Linked DNA regions of Sus scrofa. The protein of the gene in region 1 interacts with the protein of each later gene in a pairwise test. Links are inferred from orthologs where the notes say so. Each region holds a gene or a part of one and is shown in the gene's direction. Other genes may lie near its edges.

Evidence for each region. The genes of interacting proteins can lie anywhere in the genome.
Region 2: the proteins of KCTD9 (region 1) and SDCBP interact in binary tests that used the Homo sapiens proteins (3 or more experiments, as listed by UniProt). The two-hybrid records come from large-scale screens. The link is inferred for Sus scrofa from reciprocal best matches to the Homo sapiens genes KCTD9 and SDCBP.
Region 3: the proteins of KCTD9 (region 1) and NUP35 interact in binary tests that used the Homo sapiens proteins (3 or more experiments, as listed by UniProt). The two-hybrid records come from large-scale screens. The link is inferred for Sus scrofa from reciprocal best matches to the Homo sapiens genes KCTD9 and NUP35.

Annotation. Positions count from the first base shown.
Region 1 is NC_010456.5:9,504,161-9,507,807, reverse strand, and holds part of KCTD9 (BTB/POZ domain-containing protein KCTD9), read left to right. Parts: intron 1-2,092; coding exon 2,093-2,214; intron 2,215-3,647. UniProt on the Homo sapiens protein: Substrate-specific adapter of a BCR (BTB-CUL3-RBX1) E3 ubiquitin-protein ligase complex, which mediates the ubiquitination of target proteins, leading to their degradation by the proteasome.
Region 2 is NC_010446.5:74,325,727-74,330,007, reverse strand, and holds the start of SDCBP (syntenin-1 CG9291-PB), read left to right. Parts: upstream 1-1,450; 5' UTR 1,451-1,510; intron 1,511-4,281. UniProt on the Homo sapiens protein: Multifunctional adapter protein involved in diverse array of functions including trafficking of transmembrane proteins, neuro and immunomodulation, exosome biogenesis, and tumorigenesis.
Region 3 is NC_010457.5:88,586,264-88,590,583, forward strand, and holds the start of NUP35 (nucleoporin NUP53), read left to right. Parts: upstream 1-1,489; 5' UTR 1,490-1,579; coding exon 1,580-1,619; intron 1,620-4,320. UniProt on the Homo sapiens protein: Functions as a component of the nuclear pore complex (NPC).

The DNA of each region.
Region 1 (3,647 bases):
TTTGTATAATTTTTATTAGATTCCACATATTAGTGACCTTATATGATGTTTGCCCCTTTCTCTGTCTTACTTAGTATGATAATTTCTAGGTCCATCCTTGTTGCTGCAGATGGCATTATTTCATTCTTTTCCTCAGCTGAGTAATATTCCATTGTGTATATGTACCACATCTTCTTCATCCATTCCTCTATGTATGGACATTTAGATTGCTTCCATGTCTTGGCTATTGTAAATAGTGTCAACAGTGAACACTGGGGTGCGTGTGTTCTTTCAAATTATGGTTTTCTCTGGATAGAGGCCCAGGAGTGGGATTGCTGCATCACGTTGTAGTCCTATATTTAGTTTTTTACAGAACCTCCATGCTATTCTCCACAGGGGTTGTACCAGCTTACGTTCCCGTCAACAGTGGAACCAAGGTTCCCTTTTCCCCACAACCTCTCCAGCGTTTATTGTTTGTAGACTTTTCAAAATGGCAATTCATCCAGTGAGGTGATACCTCGTTGTAGTTTTGATTTGCATTTCTCTAATAACGATGTTGAGCATCTTTTCATGTGCTTTTTGGCCGTCTCTACCACACCTTCTTAATCCACCTGTTGATAGACATTTAGGTTGTTTCCATGTCTTGGATGTTGTGATGTATATTATTCTTAACAATCCACCTAGTTCCCTTTAAACTGTGCTTGCCTACAGCCCTTCCCCAAAATGCCCCAGCTTGCAACACTTCTCAGAGGTTATGATCCAAGAGAAAAGAGTTGGAGTCTCTGTATCCTGCTATTGAAAGATCGCACACTCTTATTCTGGCAAACAAACTTCCTCCACACTCTACTATTAACTTCATTTACTTAACAAAAAATTTAGTGCCTGTTTTACTCCAGTCTTGGGTGAACAAAGGACCAGCCCTGGTTCACATTTTATGCGGCCCCTTTATCCCGTATCCTGTGGGAACTCAACTGGTTGCTCGGGCTTCGAGTTCAGCTTCTAAGCTACTTTTTATTCACAACTTTGAAAGATCCTGATACTGATACAACTATACAGCAAAGCCACTAGGAACCCTTAGTTACATTTCTAACTGGAGCAAAAACTTCACTCCATGTAGAGTCTCAGCCCCCTACCTGACCAGTTGCGCGTGTATTACACAAGTACCAGACTGCCTGATTTAAAGCAGGACAAAGCAATTCATTGTAACCCAGCTCTATGTTGTTTTAGAATGTTAGTCAAAATCTGGCTTAAATAGTTATTGAAGTTCGGTAAGGTTGGAAGTTGTTAACTTCATATGGTACTTGATGTAGTAAATGTTATAATAAACAGTAAAATGTTTCTGTTTTAAAAACAAACCATTCCTTTAAAAAAGGAGTAATGTCAAAGTTCCCATCGTGGCTCAGTGGTTAATGAATCCGACTAGGAACCATGAGGTTGCGGGTTCTATCCCTGGCCTTGCTCAGTGGGTTAAGAATCCGCCATTGCCTTGAGCTGTGGTGTAGGTCGCAGTCTCGGCTCGGAGCCCGTGTGGCTGTGGCTGTGGTGTAGGCTGGTGGCTACAGCTCTGATTGGACCCCTAGCCTGGGAGCCTCCATATGCCATGGGAGCGGCCCAAGAAAATGGCAAAAAGACAAAAAAATAAAAAATAAAAAAGGAGTAATGTAAAACCAACCTCGTAAAGACTTGCTAAGCTCTTGTCAGGCCTTAACTCATTTCATCCTTATGACAACCTTCTGATACACATGCAACTATTGTCTTCATTTCTCGTGAAAGCCACGGGAGTATAAAGAGGTTAAATCATCTTAAGCTGATTGCTATAAAAGGTCAGAATCTAAATTCAAGTGCAAGTCTCTTAAAAGTGTGGGTCTCTTACAACTCAAGTACTTTAACACAAGATTATCGGTTGATTTCAGTCAGACAAATTTCTCTAGTTCTATGGATAAATTAGGCATTAAGTAAATATTTGAGTCACAAAGAAAAGGATGCTGTTAAAATCTCTCAAAATCTTATATGACGATCTGATTTTTTTTTTTTAGACCTGTTTAGAGTGTGGTGGTTTATAATTTGTAACAAAATTGTATAAGTTGTTTAAATTAATCTGGTGTGTTTACAGGTGGTCGCGGTGTATGGAACTTTATCTGATTTGCTTTCTGTGGCCAGCAATAAACTCGGCATAAAAGCCACCAGTGTGTATAATGGAAAAGGTGGACTGATTGATGATATTGCTTTGATCAGGTAACCTTCACCTTTTTATGAGCTGTCTACAGTGTGCCCTCAGCTTCTTAGTACTATGCTGTTTCCCTTAAGCAGTAGTTTAATAACACTGTTCAGAATACAGGATTTTGGCAAATGATTGTCTACACTTTGCTCTTTGGAATTTAAGTAATTTGGACTTAGAGTTCATTGATGAGTTAGAAAACCCTGAGTACGTTCCAGTATACTCATATCTTTCTACAGGGTTCATATATTTCTATGAGGAATCTCTTTACATTATAATAAGACATACATTTTTAATACTAGAAATCTAACTGATCTCTTTAATTTGAAATGCTATTGCTTATTCAGTTTACTTCCTAAGAATGTTCTGAATTTTGTACCATTACGGACACCTACTTTGGGGAAAACTTGCTAAATAAGATAGAATTTTAAGCAGAGTTAACTCACCAGTCAACCCCACGGTAATGGTTTTGGTTTGTTTGTTGGTTTTGTTTTTTAAATATCCAGTTGTATTTTATAACCAGTATCCACTTCACCTCATTCCATCCTCAGGGGAATCAGAATTTTGAAGCAGGAAGGAGATTAAAGGAGAAGATGGAATGGGAACACAAATTAAGTACTGACCCTGCCAGTTATGTTGTATTTACTTTGCCCAAGTTACCTCACTTATTTGGCAAAACATGGGCTTTTTAAAATTGATGGTGTGAAGATAATGATGTTCTAAGTTACAGCAGTATACAGAGTTTAATTTTCGTTTAAACCCAGGTCAGAATGACCTTTCAGTATAATATACTGCCTTTGAAGTTAATCATTTCTAGTCCCTTTATTTTATTTTTTTATTTTATGGCCACACCTGCGGCATATGAAAGTTCCCAGGCCAGGGATTGAATCCGAGCCATAGCTGAGACCTGTATTGCAGCTGCATCAATGCCAGATCCTTGTAACCCACTGTGCCAGGCTGAGGATCAAACCCATGCCTCTGCATAGACTCAAACTGCTACAGTAGGGTTCTTAACTCACTGTGCCACAGCGGGAACTCCCCCCTTCGTTTTATAAATGAAGCAACTAAACATCTGAGAAGTTAAGTAGTTAAATGAGTTACCCATGTATTATGGTGAGTAGTTGATTTTTGTTAATGAGAGGAAAACAAATTTTCATACTAGTCTTAAAAAGATAACAGGCATGTCGAACAAGTAGGAAAGATTATAGACTTAAAAGATAGAGATATTAAATCCAAATAAATTAGGAGAATTTCTTAGTTTTTTAGTATCTATCTCCCAGCTTCTTTAGGTTTCTATGGATAAGTGTCACATTATTGAATGATTTATATCAACCTAAATTTCTCCTTAGCAAACACAGACTCTGCTTCCAAGAAAAATTCCATATGTTCCTGTGATATCTCAGAAATATAATTTATAGGGAGTTCCCGTTGTGCAGCGGAAATGAATCCA
Region 2 (4,281 bases), on another chromosome or scaffold:
TATACTTATCCTCACATAGATTTTGTGCATTTTTTGTCAGTTATACCTAATTATTTTATTCCATTTTTTGGTGCCAGTATGAGTGATATTGTGCCTTTAATTTCAAATTCTAATTGTTTACTACTGTTATATAAGAAAACAATTGGCTCATATGTTAAACTTGAATTCTGCTACCTTGCTATAACCACTTTTTTTTTTTTTGGCCAATTCTTTGGGACTTTCTATATAACCCATGCCACCTGTGAACAAAACTAGTTTTATTTCTTCCTTCCCAATCCAATTAAATATCTATTTTATCACCTAGACCTCAGACTCTGAGGGCACAGTCTACATATTACATACTTGTCACCTCTTTTATGCTCAGACTTTTACTAGTTTTGCCCCAGATTAGGTTATTGTGTACTAAATAATTTAGCTAGAAATAAAATGCTTCTAAGGTAATAAATGCTATTTTGTCAAGTGCTCTGTTACTCCATGGTAAGTATGGAAAATTTAGGTAAAGTGTGCCTCAGTGTCTTCACAAGCTAAAGATGTTGCCTCAGTGTTCTGTTTTGCCTCAGCTGGTTAAGGACCCAGCCTTGTCTCTGAGGATGCAGGTTTGATCCCTGGCCTCGCTCAGTGGGTTAAGGATCCAGCAGTTGCTGCAAGCTGTAGGTCACAGGTGAGCCTTGAAACCGGTGTTGCCCTGGTTGTGGTGCAGGCCTGCAGCTGCAGCTGTGATCCTACCTCTGGCCTGGGGAAGTTCACAAGCCAGTACCTGCAGTTGTTAAAAAAAAAAAAAAACCAAACAAACCAAACACAGCAAGAATATCTCAGATAGACGTAAGGATCAAATAAGACTACTGTATACATCAAGTTCTTAGGACATCTTCTGGAACATAGCCCTTAAGAAACAGTTTTTCACTTTTTGTGTTAGGACACAGCTATTGTGCACTACCTCACATAACCCTCAACAACCCGTGAACTTTAGCTCAGACGGGCAGAGGGTAAAAAAAGTCAAACAAGTTGTAACACAAAGAGGGCAGGGGTTGGGAAGGGTTAGAGAGAGGAAGGCTTCAGAGCCTGTAGGTAGAGCGGTCAACCGAGAGGGTGGTGATGAATATGACCACGGTGGTAGAAGTCCAAGGCTGGCCAAGAAATCGCCAAAGGCTAGGGTTTCGGGGCTCCCTGTGTTCGAGGTGATGGGAACCATCATGAATGAGGCAGACGAAGAGTGGCGTCGCTGGTCACGAAGTGCCCAGAGAGGGGAGCAGGTTGGCTGGGGGAAGGGGGGGCTCTACATCCCCAATCTCTGCAATAGTGGGGGCCGCTGAGCCGCCCGCGCCCTGTTACCCTGGCGACGGGGTCACCTGACAGAGCGTTGCGCGCCTGCGCAAGCGGAAGGGGGGAGCGGCGCGGTGACGCGCCTCACAGGCGGTCCTCGGGCGCGCGCCGCCTTCCTCGCTCCGGGTCTCGGAAGTCCGAGTCAGTGACCGGAGGCGGCGGCGGCGATCAGGTACCTACGGCCGGGGTGAGCACCAGGGGGAAAGAGGGGCGCACCCTCGGCGTCCCGGGCTCGGGGACGGAACCGGAGGGGCAGAGTCCCCGGGCCGCTTAGTGGAGGGGCGTCTCGGCGCAGCTACTCGCGTCGACGGCGACGCCCTGTCGTCGGTGGTCTCCGCGCCCCTCCCGGCGCCCGCGGCCCGGGGCGAAAGTTTGCGCGAGCGGCTCCCTTGGCTGCCGGCGACCCTGCGGACTGGGGGCCGGGGCCAGGACGGAGCCCGTGGTCGGCCCGCAGCCCCCCACCCGCGGCCGCCTCGACTCTTTTTGTTCCTCCCGGAGGCGGCCCGGGCGGTGAGGGGACAGCGGCGGCTCCGGTCTCCGGGTCGTCCGGGCGCCGCGTCCCCGGGCTCTTTCTCGGCGACCTCACCGCAGCGTCCTGTCTGGCGGGAGGTAGGAGGCGTCCTCTTGGGGTGAAGCCTTGACTTTGTGTGGGGGGGGGGTGGGGGTGGGGAGGCTGCTCGGGGCCGGGTTTCTGGACAAGCTGGAGGAAGGAGCCGCGGTTCCCGCTCCGCGGCTGCGAAGGAAACGTCCCTTGAGGGCTCGTGACTCAAAGCTTTCGTTTCAGGATTTCCTTGTAATGATGTGAGAGCAGAGCCCAAAGGATATGGAAAGTTTGCCTTTATCACCAAAATGGATTGAGTCATGGAGCCTTATAATGTGCCAACTTCTAAAAAGAAGTGTCTAGCTTTATCTAGTCTGTATGTAGTGTCTGCATAACTTGTGTACTGTTGTTTTTTCCACCATACACAGCTCTTAGTATATGTAGTTCACCAAACTCATAACACCCAGTTGTTTCAAAGGAAATAATTGGTTAAAAAAAGGAAATTATGTGGTAAAACAATCGCAGGCTGGTAATTTCTATCTCAACTATATATGTGATTACTTTAAAATTTGTCCATTCTGTAATTTTTAAAAATCTGAGGTTGAGGACAAACAGTAAGAATGTTTTGTTTTTCCCATTTTCCCTGTGGCCACCGTACTTTATAAACTTTAAATGGCGAGTAAATATTACGGATCATGTGGTTTTTGCTGCGAAATAAAAATAAGGAAATGCCTTTTAATAGGTTCAGGAAATAGTCATTCCGTTACAGTCTCTATTTAACTTTGGCAACAGTAATTTTTGCGATTGGGCGGTAGAAGAAGAATGTAAAAATCATGAGGAAGAACTTACCTGTGGTTGGCAATAAACCTGCTGTTGAAGAGAATAGTTCCTAAATGAACATGACTCACCTGTTGTTTTTCCTGTTTCTGCTGGATTTAGGTTCTTTCTTTTTTAGGTAGTAAATGCCAAGAGTTTCGTAAAAGATAGATTCTCCCAAACAACACCTGTTAACATTTAGTAATAGTTATCTTCGCATTTATTAATTTCTTTGCAAATGCCACCAACATTTTTTTGTCCATTTATTTAGTTTCCGAAGAGGTAACCAGTTAAATGGCTCAACATTGAATCAAAGAGTGGTATAAAGTGTCTCCCCCCAGCCCCTGTCAAGCACTGCTGTTCTTGATATCTTTATGATTTTGACTACTAAGGATCTCATAAGTGGAATCAGTTTTTGTCTTTTATGTGAGTGGCTTATTTCACTTAGCATAATGTCCTCAAGTTCACCCATGTAGTTGTGTGTTGCAGAATTTCCTTCCGTTTTAAGGCAACAAAATTACATTTCCGTGTGTGTGTATTCCACATTTTGCTTATCCATTCGTTTGTTGGTGGAAATTTGGGTTGCCTCCACGTTTGAGTTATCTCTGTGAATAATGCTGCTCTGAACACAGATATAAAAATCTCTCTTCAGATGCAGATTTCAGTTTTGGGGGGAGTATACCCAGAAATGGAATTGCTAGATATATATATAGAATTCTATTTTCAATTTTTTAGGGGAACTGCCACACTTTTTTTTTTATGGCCCCTGTGCCATTTTGTATTTCCACCAACAGTGAATAAGGGTTCAGATTTTTCCACGTGTCACCAACACTTTTTTTTGATAGTTGTCACTCTCGTGGGTGTGAGAGTTGGTATCTCATGGTTTTGATTGGCATTTCCATAATGATTAGTGATTTGAGCATCTTTTCGTGTGCTTGTTGGCTGTTCTATATTCTTTGGAGAAATGTCAAGTTAGGATCTTTGCTGATTTTATGTTTTTAATTTTTATTTTTTGTTTTAGGAGTTCTCTAAATGTTCTGGGTATTAATCTCTTACATCTGATTTGCAAATTTTTTTTCCCCATTCCATGGATTGTCTTTTTACTCTATTAGTATTTTTTTGTTTGTTTGTTTAAGGGCCGCACCTGTGGTATATGGACGTTCCCAGGCCAAGGGTCAAATCAGAGCTGCAGCTGCTAGCCCCAGCAGCACCAGATACCAGCTGCATCTTTGATTTGGCAACTCCCGAATCCTTAATTGCAGCTCCTGGCGATACCAGATCCTTAATCCACTGAGGGAGGCCAGGTGTGGAACCTGCATCCTCATGGATACTAGTTGGGTTCATAGCCACAGTGGGAACTCCCATTGTTAGTGTCTTTTGATGCACAAATTTTAAAAATTTTCATGAAGACCAATATATCTTTTTTCTTTTGGTACCTGTTCCTTTGGTGTCATATCCAATAAATCTTTGCCGAATCCAGCGTCAGGAATCTTTTGTCCTGGTTTAAGAGTTTTTATTGTTTGAGAAAAGTCTTACATTTAGATCCTTTATCCATTCTGAGGTAATTTTTTGTACCTATGGTATTAAGTGAGGGTCCACCT
Region 3 (4,320 bases), on another chromosome or scaffold:
ATCTCTGGAATCTATGAATGTTACTTTGCAGTTGTGGCTATTAACTTAATCACAGCTGGCTATTGAAATGGGAAGATTATCCTGCATTATCTGAGTAGGCTCTAAATGTAATTACAAACATCCTTTAAGAGGGAGGTGGAGTGAGATTTTAACTATAGAAGAAAAAGGCCATATGATGATTGAAGCAGAGATAAGCAGATGCTAAAAGAGATAGAAGACGCTATGCCACAGGCTTTGAAACAGGATAGGGCCAAAAGCCAAGTAATATTGTTAGCTTCCAGATGTTACACAAGGCAAGGAAACAGATTCCCCTCTGGAGCCTCTGGAAGAAACCAGTCTTGCTGACATTTTGATTTTAGTCCTATAATACTCATTTCGAATTTCAGGCCTCCAGAGCTATAAAGATAAATTTGTGTTGATTTAAGCTGCCAATTTTGTAGTAATTTAGTATGTCTTTATCTGAATTTGATTACATCTGCAAAGACCCTATTTCCAAATAAGGTCGCATTAATATGTACTGGAAATTAGGACTTTAACATGTATTTTGGGGGACACAGTTCAACATATATATATGTTTAAAAAATATAATTCATCTGTGAGTGTTTTAAAACTTTAACTTCTGGGAACTTGTCATTTAATCCTGGAATTGTTATTGCCTCATACAAATTATAAAGTTCTTGGCTGGATTTTGAATTTCAGCAAATCCCAGAGGAAACAGGGAGAGTAGGTGGGTAAGCACTTTGAAGGTAAGTTTGATATGGACCAGAGAGCATTTCAGAATATATATACATAGCACATCACTTTTATAAAATTAGCAAAACGAAAAAGCTATTTTCGCACACACACATATAGCATATGTATGATATTTGAATACGTTCTACAGAAAGGAAAGTAGCAGCAAGGGGGGGGGGTCGGCCCGGATGGCATAGGAACACACAAGATTCTGCAGTATGGTGAGTGCACGGGTGTTTATTACTTTCCTCCATTATTTAATATCTTTTGTACTTATAAACATGTAATAAACCAGTAAAAGAGCAAGTATGAGTTATGCTTTAATGTAAAATTGTGCCCATATAACACAAAAAAATCTTAAATGGCATAGAGATGGTAGAAAATATGCTTGAGAAAGGAGCTCGGTGCCCTAAGCCCAGAAACCTACGTTGGAAAGCGGCATAATCTGTTTCTTCAAGCCAACCTGTCCAGGTGGTACTTGGAAAAGCTGACGGATGACAGAGCACTGAATAAACTCACGCTATTTATGAATCCGTGAGTAAAATAACTTGCGCTTCTATAAAACTCGAGCACCAACAAATCAGGAGGCTCAGAGGACGAGCGAAAGCATTCCCAGAACCACACGATCCACGCTGATCTCTTTACCAGAGAAATCCTTCTCAGAGCAGTCGAGTCTGCGCAGACTCTTGCCCTATTCCAAAATGGCAGCTCTGGCGCCACAACTTTGGTATGGCGCATGTCCGGAAGTTACGCAACCCCATAAGGTACCGCGCTCCTACCCGTGGGGAGAGTTTCCGCCATTTTTGAAAATCGGGAAGGTCCGGGGCTAAGTGGTGTAGCTGCTGCGATGGCAGCCTTTGCCGTGGACTCCCAGGTGCCCACGTTGGGTGAGTGAAAAACTGCTTTTCCTCACTAGCTCTGTGCTACTTGCCGCTTGGAAGCGGGCAAGCTTGGAAGGCAGTAGTCATCGGGGTCTCTTCTGTTAATTTCAGCCTCAAAGGGGGAGCCTCTGGCTCGCCCCAGGTTCGTAGTCCGCCCCCTACCCCGAAGCTTTGCTACCCCGCCGTCACGAAAACGGTTCCAGGAAACTTCGGGCCCCGAGGAGGGCGAGGGAACGGCCGTCTGCGGTGGCTGAACCATTTTGTGCCCCTACGTGCCGGAGCCAGACCTGCCCATACCTGAGACGCCATCAGTGCCTGAGATGCCAAGCTGGGTTCATAGATCCGGGGAAGCGTTGATGGGAAGGAACTCACCTGTGAACACGTGGGTGGGCGGTACTCTGGGGTGTGGTTAGTGTCCTTGGCTGTTTGGTCACCTTAGGCTTGTAGTTCCTGTTTGATTCCTACCTTCTCCCGGGCTTTGCAAAAAGAATCTTTTTAATGGAAGTTTGAGTCGGCGGCATTTAATTAGGCAGGTGATGGCAGCCTTTGAGATATTAGCCTTAATAGGAAGCCAGGAGTTCGTTCGTTTTCCCTCGCCTTTATCTTGGGAAAGTGACTCAGTATTGTAGGAGGTCTCTTCATTTGACCGGTCACGTAATGATTAAAAATCATCACCATTATTTAATGGGGTGCATTACTAAAATGTGTTGTTGAAAAAAATCTCTCAAGTTTTTTGTTTTTGTCTGCTGAGTTTTGGAATTTGGGGGAACGGTCGAAAATTTTAGAACAAAAAATAAACCTATCGTAAGAATATTTGAAAAGTTGGTTACAAACTTTATGAGTTTGGAAAGGAAGGCAAGCACAATATGTACCTATAGAATAAATTTTATTATAGTTGAAGGATATATAATGCTTGCCATGTTTTGTGCAAAATAAGTTTCTTTTGAGAGTAGAGTGACTTGAACTGTTAGTATTAATAATAAAACTAAATGCATAATATCAAGGTAGGTACTCAGCTACATTTAAACTTGTGTACAGATGTTGGTCTAGGTATTTGTGTTTTGTATTATTTTGGAGATCAGAGAGCTTTAATTTCCAGTTCCTAAGTTTTCTAGTCCCCCAAAACATTTTGGAGTGTATATTTCTTGGGGTTACGTATATGAATAATTGGTCGGAAATCTGACATTAGCGGATATGAATGTTCAGGTCCACTGCAAATATTCCAGGCGGGATATAAACATTTTCCCAGCACCTAATGGTACACTGAAACTAAGTTACTTTAACAAACAGTGCTGGCTGAGAAGACTTAGTACTTAACATTTTAGGAGTGCACACTGTGAAATGGTATTTGACTTGAAGGATCCAATGGTATAGCTCAGTGAAATTAGCTTGAGGGTTGGGCAGTTAGTGACAGTTCAATTAAGAGCCCGTTGCCCATTCCTCACTTTAGTGCTTTCTTTTGTATCACAATATATATCTGAATGTGTCAGAAAATTTCCTGACAATTCTTGTTATACTTGCCATATTTGTATGTTTTCCTTTGAGGGCTGGGAGAGTGAAAGTAGGCAGTATTTAAAACTTTGTAATACATTTATTACTATAGGTTTCTAAATATATGTTCAGAATATGCTTTTGTTTAGACTTTAGGTTTGATTTTTAGTGTTAGGTTTTTTAGAAATATGTTATAGTACCATGGTACTTTGTAACGAGCATTTTGAAGTAATTACAATGTAATACAGCTCTTCACACCTTATTTCGGTATTTGCCTTATTCTTTCCCTAAATTTCTTTTCCTTTTTCTTTTTTTGTACACTTGCATTGCTAATATCTAGGTCTACTTTGATGGGAAATAAAGGGAAGATCAAATAAGTGACAGCATTTGGATAGCACAAAACATATTTCTGTGGCTGTTTAGAAGTTAAGGAATAGGGAGTTTCCATCGTGGCTCAGTGGTGAGCGAATCTGACTAGGAACCTGAGGTTGCAGGTTCAATCCCTGGCCTTGCTCAGTGGGTTAAGGATCTGGCGTTGCCATGAGATGTGGTGTAGGTTGCAGACCTGGCTTGGATCTCGCGTTGCTGTGGCTGTGGTGTAGGCTGGTGGCTACAGTTCCGATTAGACCCCTAGCCTGGGAGCGGCCCAAGAAAATGGCAAAAAACAAAAAACAAAAAGTTAAGGAATAGTTAATAAAGGCCATATAAAATACAAATTGTTTGACTTCTCTGAATGCCATGGATCACATTCAGGCTTGTCACATAGTTGAAAAATTAAGTTTTCATAAGCAGAAATTGAAGTTCTCAATGTACATATCATTACTTCAGTTTTGTCTACTATAAAATAATATTAGAATAATAATGAATATTTGGTGCTTACTCACTGTATATAAGGGACTTGAGTATTTTACTTGCTATAATTCTAGTCAGAGCTCTATGGGTGGGTGCTATGATTATGTCTGTTTTGCTGCAAGACTTAAACTCATGTCTCCGACTCCAGAGCTCATCTTTTCCTTACTGTGGTATTTTGTTCTGAAATTAGAGTAAGTTATAGCTTCTCTATTTTCATAGTTGGAGTAATAATAATAGCTACCCTAAGAATTGTGAAGATTAATTTTGAATTGATGATTATGAAATATCAATTCTCTTTTAAAATTGATTTTATATTAGGGAGATTTATATTGGTTTTGGTTATTCCTGATTTTAAAATGAATAA